2 linked regions of the Coturnix japonica genome follow. The protein of the gene in region 2 interacts with the protein of the main gene of each other region in a biochemical or structural test. Links are inferred from orthologs where the notes say so. Each region holds a gene or a part of one and is shown on either strand. Other genes may lie near its edges. The genes, in order: KIN and METTL22.

Region 1 (3,816 bases), on a different chromosome or scaffold from region 2:
GGAGGAGGCATCCACAGCCTCACTGGGCAACCTGTTCCAGTGTCTAACCACCCTCACAGTAAAGAATTTCTTCCTAATATCTAGTCTAAATCTACCCTCTTCCAGTTTAAAGCCATTTCCCCTCATCCTGTCTCTACCTGCCATTCTAAAAGTTCCTCTCCAGCTTCCCTGTAGGGAACCGGTAGGGAACAGCTTCAGGTACCGGAAGGCCACTATAAAGCCCCCCTGGAGTATTCTCTTCTCCAGGTTGAAGAGACAAGTTCTCTCAGCCTGTCCAAACTTGTTGAGGGTGCACTCAATACCAATACTCAATACTGTTCACAAAGATGTTAAAAAGCATCAGACCCTGCACAGATATGAATACCACTCATCACCAGTCTCTCCTTGGACACTGAGCCATTGACTGCAACTCTCCGAGCAGCCATTCAGCCAATCCCTTATCCAGTGAGCAGCCCATCATCAAATCCATTTTTCTCCAATATGGCTACCAGGATGTCATGTGGGAAAGTGTCAAAGAAGTCAAAGTCACTTCCCTCATGTCCTATTCCATATCCTAATTGCTCAGTGTGCCTTCTTTCTTCCTCTTATCTCACATAAGCAGTTCCACAGGGCATCAGTTCTATTCTAAGTGTGGGCAAAGCTCAACTGTACCATTATTCCACCATCAAATGGCTATTCACCAGCTGAAGGTGCAGAATGTAGCATGTCTGATGAAAAATCACAAGATCCTACATCTTATTTCTCTCTATGCAGACAGTCCTCTGTTAATTGATACCCTGAATGTTCAGCTACTGTTAAGGTAGTTTCAAGTGGATGTTTTACAGTTTAAAAGAACTTAAATTATGCTGTGACAGCTATGCTGAAAAGTAAGGAACACAAACAGCCATACCTGGTGCTGGTATTACAGTTTCCAGGTGTGTCTGATCAAGCTTCAGTTTGTCTCCAGAATCAATCATTTTCACAACTGCTGTATATTTGTCGATCACCTCCTGTTGTGAAAAGAAGAGGCCAATCAGTGACTATAATAATATATAATAATTCTATAATAATTCTCTAAATTTACATTTTCAAAATTAACAAATTCAGGATCTTCAGTCTATGCTTGTACATTTTCAAAAGGAATGAGCTGCCCTAAAGGCATCCAGCTTCCACAAAGTGCTGGCTGACCCGACTCTGAAGTTAAGGCCAGATTAAAGGGGCTCCTCTTAAAAAAACCACAACCAATCTCCTTTGTAAATTAAGACCACTGATGTTATTAGTGCTGTCTGGAGGTTTTGTCAACCTTCAGATCAGTTATCTTAGCTACCTCTCAAATTCGGAGAGTAAATTAGAGGCCTCTTTTCCTCTTGGGAGGATAAACTGGCTTGAAGTCACACAGGGAGAATTGGAATAAGTCCTCTCAATGAGGAAAACTGTCACTGATCATCTTTACACCCAGCATGTCCAAACTCCCAGATTTACAGCTCAGTGGAAGACAGACACTGGGACTCATAACCTTCTCTTCTTGCCAAAAAAAAAGCTGTGATTTTGAGTTCCATACGCTGCTGTCAGCCATTCAAAACACACCTAGATGTTGTCTTCTGCACTCTTGCCAAAGACTGTTGAGCCTTGGAGTACCTACTACAACATCATTTCACTGGCAGCAGCTAAAAGAAACCACTTCTAAACATATAACAAGGCTTACAGAGTGAAGATTTTGTACACAAATGGGATCTTGCTCAAAGGGCAGTATGCAGAGTGAATATTTGTGCAACACTGATTAGTCTCAACTTAAAATACAACTACACCGCATCACGTTGAAAAAGTGATTATTCCCCATTATGGATATGTTAATAGGATAAGATGTACAGGACAAAAGCATACACACAAAGAACGTGCCAGTAAAGTTACATTATTGCTCTTATCAATGTAGACTTAAGGCTGAGCACAATTCTGACTCTGGAAATCATCTGGTACCATAAAATCCAACCAAAGCCACATGCTTCCATTTGCAAACTTTACCTTAACAACTGCCTTCTTCTTGTGATACTTCTCTCCAAGCTTCTTCGTGACAATTTTTACAATGATTTCCTAGACAATTTGAAAGGAGGGAAACAAAAATAAAGATTAACGTTCCAAAATACAGAAGCAGGATCTTTTACATAAGCAAGTGTAGACATGCAGAATTGGTTGTACCTGTAAGTGTTATTGTTTAAAGATACTTACTGGCTGTAACCAGTAGTCTGTTCGAGATGTTCTTTTCTTCTCTTCTTCAAGCTACAGAAGAGGAACAAATAAGCATCATTCGTTTTCTCCCTTCACTGCAGCCTTCCCATGCCTGCAAAAATCTGAACAAATTATCCAGATCCATACCAAGTAGGGAAAAAAAAACCAAGAAGGGTTGCTGAGTGTGTGTTCTCAGCATAGAAATCAATCTGATGAGATTGATAAAATCTCATAATATCTGAGATATCATGATATCTCAGATCTCATGATGTATGATTCATGATATATGAATCCACGATAAAATGATGGGAGATTCATGTTTATTTTTGTCAAGCGATTCTAGGTATTTTTTTCTCTTGCAAAATCTGTATTCCTTTACTTCCAACATCTGGATTGTCAAGGCAATAGGCACAGATGAGAAGCAGAAACCAATCTTAAATGGGAAGTGATATAATTTTGCCCGACATGACATTGAAGTCTGAATTCCACAAGAACTGAAGGTCTGAGATCATTTCAAAGTAGACTCACTGCTACAAGCATGGGGTTATAAAGACAAAGATCCTTGCATAACTGTTACCTCCATAATCTCATCCAGTGCAGATTTCTTCTTCTTCTCTTTGGATTGACCAGAGCTGTGAGCTGATTCTTTTCTTTTAACTGCTCCTTCCGCCATCTTCAGTGCGCTTGGTCCAAGGACACTGCTGGGAGAGTAAGATGGCAGTTTCAGAGCAGACCTCAAATTGTCTCCTCTACCAAGATGCATTTGAAGAACTGGTTGTACAAAAAGGCCTATTGATCTATTTGATTTCAGTTGTGCAAGTCACCTTCCAGACCTTACATCACTCCTTTTCTAAGACTGTGCTTGGCAGCTGGAACTGAAGTGAAAATTCCATGTTCTCCAGATGTCCAGCAGAACAAAAACAATCTAATGGTCAGTTCATCAGTTCAAAAGCCAAGAGGTGATTAAGGGACTTAAGTGGTAAAGACAAAAACAAGTCTGCAAGTAAGATCTCCACATTTGTTTTAAATATTTATTTCAAATATATGAAGCAAAATGGGCTATCTTGTAGCTTAGGACATAATTAAAGCCTACATTAAAAGAAGGAAAACCTGTGAGGTTACTATGGGATTCCCAGGTGTCAGTATTAAAATGCATCTTATTTAACATATGTATTAAGGACCCTGGGACAAAGAGAGACCATCAACACTGATCAGGTGTGCAATCAATAGAGGACACAAGAAAGAACTGGGTACAAGAAAGGACTGATTTACCTTGAAATCTTTGGTTTACAGAAGGCAAAACTAAACAGCATATTATGCAAGCTCCCATAGTTTAGAAAAGTTTACTCTGCTTAGATTCTATCCACAGGGATCACTGTTTATGATCAACAACAGCAAAGAAGGGTCTGACTATAATTATGGATGACAACTAACAACGTGGACCAGCCATGAAAGAGTCAAACTCAACCCTAGTGGTCACGTCCTATCGTCTCTTGGTCCTATTTCTGCACTGTGATCAAGAAATGCAGGTGATAACCCTGGCCAGGATTCTGCAACACCTGCAGTGAGCAGAGAGGCTGGGAAACAAGGAAATCCTGCAACACACTGCAC
Region 2 (4,454 bases):
TGCCTTACCTGTGCAATAAACTCTTTTGGCAACCATTCCCATGATGATGCTTGCAATTCCAGTACCGCCTCCAAGCTCAAGCACTGTGCAATTCCTGAACACGTCCCGTTTAAACAGAATATAATCAGCAAGAAGAAAGGCTGCACGCCAGACCTTTGGAGAAGAGTAGCAGTTAAACCAGACAGATTCCAAAGCACAACACACAAGCAGCAAGACAATAGAAGGCACAATACATACTTGTTTGCCAGCATCTTCTAAGGGGGTTGCCATAGTATGCTCTGTGAAAATGGAAGAGAGTACTGTTTCAAACATGGTTCAGATCAAGTTCCATAATAGTAAATTTGAAAAGCCAATTAATGCTTCCCTTTTAAATCTAGAACTGAGCACTATTAATTCTACACAGTAATGCTGGATAATGGTGAAAACCCAATTCTAATTAAGGAAAACCATTTCTCCACAATATCCAAATGTCCACTTTTGAAGAAAAACTGCTTTTAAAGCACTTAACAATATCACAGTATTATTATGGTTTACTATCTACTTTGACTTACCAAGTTCTCTTTCAATTAAAAGACCAACTCAGTTTTCTTTTGTTTTACTTGAGCACCTATTTATTCAATTTCTCCTTGAACGTAAGCCTACTATTTACCTATTTTAATAACACTGCTGTAAGTACATTCTTGTTCTTCATCTTCAAAAGCATTTGCTTTTCCTTTCATCAGAATTACAGGATATACTCTATCCCTCATAAGATCCTCTGCCTCTGAGTCACTGGCACTTTGAGGCCTCCTGACCACTTCCAAGTCTCCATCCTCATCCAGCAGAGCTTCTATTCCTTCAGTATTCAATTCTTTTTCACATTTCAGATTCATCCCGTCCTCGTTAGGTAGTTCATCTCCACGTCCGTACTGGTGTTCTCTTTCAGTTGTAGTTTCTCCTCTGTATTTCTCAGAGGCCTGATCATCTGTGTTCCAAAGGAGTTTGAAACATGACAGGAACACTGCAAGAACAAGGAGTGGGAGGAGGGTAAAGCTAAAGATCAATGCTAGGGAAGAACAGACTCTATATGCAAACATCACTTGCATGACATTTGATGTGCATTTCACATACCGAAGTGTATGGTGGCAGACCACTGCTGGATTTTTTAGAGTAAAAGCTGTCATACTACAATCCAGCCCTGGTATGGGAAATTTGTTTATTTTTTAAGACTATGGACACTCAGATTATATAAAACACATCGTTATATTATTGTGTTGAAAGGTTGTGTCGAGTCACAGCAAGTGAATGCTAAGCAGTATGACAATGTACCACAGCATTAATTACCTGATTTTGGCCTGATTGAGGTCATAATTAGATCCACCCCTTCCCAGACCTCAAAGGAGGGTTAAGACGATACAAATACATTAGAGTGCAATTAAAACACAGCTCCATCAGTCTAAACATGCATTACCTGGCTGTCCAACTGCATTCAGTCGTACCATGAGATGACTTTTGTTGGGACAGTGCAAGTGCACATCAGAAAGGACGGCGTCGCTTTTGAACGTGCCACTATCCATTTCCTTCTCCGTGATGTCTCCCATGGTACGTCAGTGAGAGGGACACCTATGGGGGCAGCTGCCATCACCAGGCAGCCCGCTGTGAAGCACAGCCGCCATGGAGACTGCTCAGCACGACCTCAGGGTGCAGAATCTGAGGCCTCAGTCACATAAGCTCCACCGTGCCCTGATGAGATACCAGGTTGTGTGTAGGGGTCTCCAACCTACAAGCAAACACAGACAGCTTTCAGCTCGCTAACACTACCCTGTGGTGAGGAACCAGGTTACACCAACAAAGCTACAGTGCTTCAGAGCTCCCTTTTACAATGCTCCTACAGTTACAGTTCAACCCGGACACTACATGCTCCAGGAAGGCACACTGCTCATTAATTTGTGTTAAAAGCAACCAACCATCCCGTGACAAAGCAGAGAACACCCAGACACAGCCCTGCAGTGGGTGAGGGCAGAGCACAGCCTGGGCACAGGCTCCCTCAGAAACCAACGCCATGAATGCAGCTTAGTTCCATATATTTTGTACTAATACTGGCTCCTCCCGAAGATAAATTGGCTCCTCTCACACACCCACCAGGAGTTCTCTATTTTTCTCCCCAAAAACAAACAACCCTCCTCGCTGCCCCGTGCCCGCGGCTCCAAGGCGCAGACAAAAATTTCCTCTACAGACACACACACACACACAAAAAAGCCACATTTATTCCCCCGAACATCCTGAGAAACGCGTTTTAAACACGAGGGCACCGCAGCCGTGAGGACAACGCTACGCCTCACACGCACTGACCCAGAGGCACAGCTCGGAGCGGCCCCTCACACACACACAGCCGCCATCTTGGAGCCCGCAGCCCCTTCCGGCGCGCGGCTGACGCGCCCGTCCCGCCCATCCGTCCCTCAGAGCGGCCCCGGCCTCAAGGGCCGCCTCAGTGCACACTCATAAGCTTTAGGATTAATTTCCCCATTCACAGTCTTGGCTTTGCAATCAGACCTTAAAATAACTGCATTTTGTTGAAAGATACTCCAAACTCTGGTTGCTGATTATATTCAATTCAAAGTACGTTCTGATCCGATGCTTTGGAACAGGTAGCATGGAAGCTGAAGAGCCTGCGGTGGCTGCTCTAATGTGTTTACTGACCCTTTCCCTATGCCCAAAATCTCACTACAGCAATCTATTTTGTAACAGTAATAAAAACGGGGGTTTAAAACAATGGCTCTGGGTCACATTATAATGATATAGACAAAGGAAAAAAGATATTTCTTGGTTTCAGATTAAAAGAGCAGCTATCAGAAAGGCCACAGGAGATCATCAAGGAACTAAGTGTAACAATAAAAAGCAGCTTAATATCTTGTTTTTCACATATTTTATGTGTGTGCAGGCAGATTGTTGCTCTTGTTGAGCGCAGAGCAGGTGCTGCTATGGGCACACATGTATGCATTCTTTTAATACTTTGATATCTATCGCCATACATTGCCATACTGAATTAATATCTTACAACACTGACAGATATTTATCACAGAATGACCTGGGTTGGAAGGGACCTCAAGGATCATGTAGTTCCAACCCCCCTGCTTAGCAGGGCCACCAAACATACACATTTACTAGATCAGGTTGCCCAGGGCCCCGTCCAACCTGGTCTTGAACACCTCCAAGGATGGGGCATCCATTTATCCTCCCAATCCATTTGTGATCTGGCTGATAGTGGTTACCCTTCCACTCAAAAGTGTTACAGCCTTTAGGAATCACATGTCCAGGCAGCACCAAGTGCCTCTGTTTAAATTGCTTTACCAAAACGACTTAGTATTCTTTGCATACAGCAGGGAACTAAATTAGAACTAATTGTTTCGAGCCTAATGCCCTAAGCGCAGTGCCCTTGGATGCTCAGGTTATTCTGCTCTTTTTATTACAGACACATTAAATCAGAATGAAAAGTGAGAGCAATAAGCTGAGGTTCATCTGATTGCAGTGCTCTGAATGCACCGTGTATTTCTGCAATAATGGAAACTATGATTAGCATCCGCTGCTATGCAAAGTGCTTTGAACTTGGGATGAATAAAAAGGCTGTTGATGTAGATGAACCATCAGTGGAGAACTTTGTTTTGCTATCCAAGCACACGACACCTGGCCAACAGGTTGAAAATTCCTGAATCACTGAGGTTGAAAAGTTCACGAGAGGAGTAAATGAACTATAAGTTAAAAGGGCAAGTGCAGCTGTTGGCTTCTGTGTCTCTATACTTACTGAATATCCACTTTTTTCCCAGGGGAAGCTTGTCTCACCAGCAAGAAAACCGAATTAAAGGCACCGACAGCATTGCAGAGCTGAACCCACACTGACTGCTTTTTCATTAACTATTTTGTGCTTGTTTATCGGAAACATTCACACTCTGATTATAGAATTTTTCTTCTCCAGAAGAGAGCAGACAATGACTGTGTAATGACTGGGCGTTACTTAGCGTTCCCCTGGGGAGCCTGGGATGAGATCTGAGCAAGCAAACAGAATGAGACTCCCTATGGAGCGCCCATGCGAACCGCCCGGGAGCTGCGCTGCTGCCTGCGGGCATCGCTTCATCCCGCACCACCCTTCCCATCAGTGTGCATCTCCTACCGCGGTCCAGCATGAGGGTGAGCCTGAGTGTCTTGTCGCTGCTTGTGGCTCTGGTGGGAGCCTCCAGCTTCGTTTTCCTCGTGGTGGCCATCGCGACGGACTTCTGGTACATCATCGATGCCTCCCGCCTGGAGACGGCCGCCAATGGCACTGCCGCGCTCAGCTCGCACTCGGGGCTCTGGCGGACCTGCCGGCGTGAGTGGGGCGGTGGGGGGCGGTGGGAGTGGGTCCCTTACCGTGCTGTTGCTGTCCTCTCTGCTGTCCGTAGCCGGGGGCTGCCCGCCCCACCCGGCTCTCCCTCCATCCA

What was found.
Region 1: of the proteins of METTL22 (region 2) and KIN, one has a biochemical effect on the other in vitro, tested with the Homo sapiens proteins (2 studies listed by BioGRID). The link is inferred for Coturnix japonica from reciprocal best matches to the Homo sapiens genes METTL22 and KIN.

Annotation. Positions count from the first base shown.
Region 1 is NC_029516.1:3,681,241-3,685,056, forward strand, and holds part of KIN (DNA/RNA-binding protein KIN17), read right to left. Parts: intron 2,907-3,816; coding exon 2,783-2,906; intron 2,257-2,782; coding exon 2,206-2,256; intron 2,071-2,205; coding exon 2,002-2,070; intron 990-2,001; coding exon 890-989; intron 1-889. UniProt on the Homo sapiens protein: Involved in DNA replication and the cellular response to DNA damage. May participate in DNA replication factories and create a bridge between DNA replication and repair mediated by high molecular weight complexes.
Region 2 is NC_029529.1:9,455,041-9,459,494, forward strand, and holds the start of METTL22 (methyltransferase-like protein 22), read right to left. Parts: upstream 3,044-4,454; 5' UTR 2,332-3,043; intron 1,760-2,331; 5' UTR 1,581-1,759; coding exon 1,451-1,580; intron 1,001-1,450; coding exon 650-1,000; intron 279-649; coding exon 238-278; intron 154-237; coding exon 9-153; intron 1-8. Other genes in the region: TMEM114 (transmembrane protein 114), read left to right, coding at 4,159-4,342. UniProt on the Homo sapiens protein: Protein N-lysine methyltransferase. Trimethylates KIN at Lys-135 (in vitro).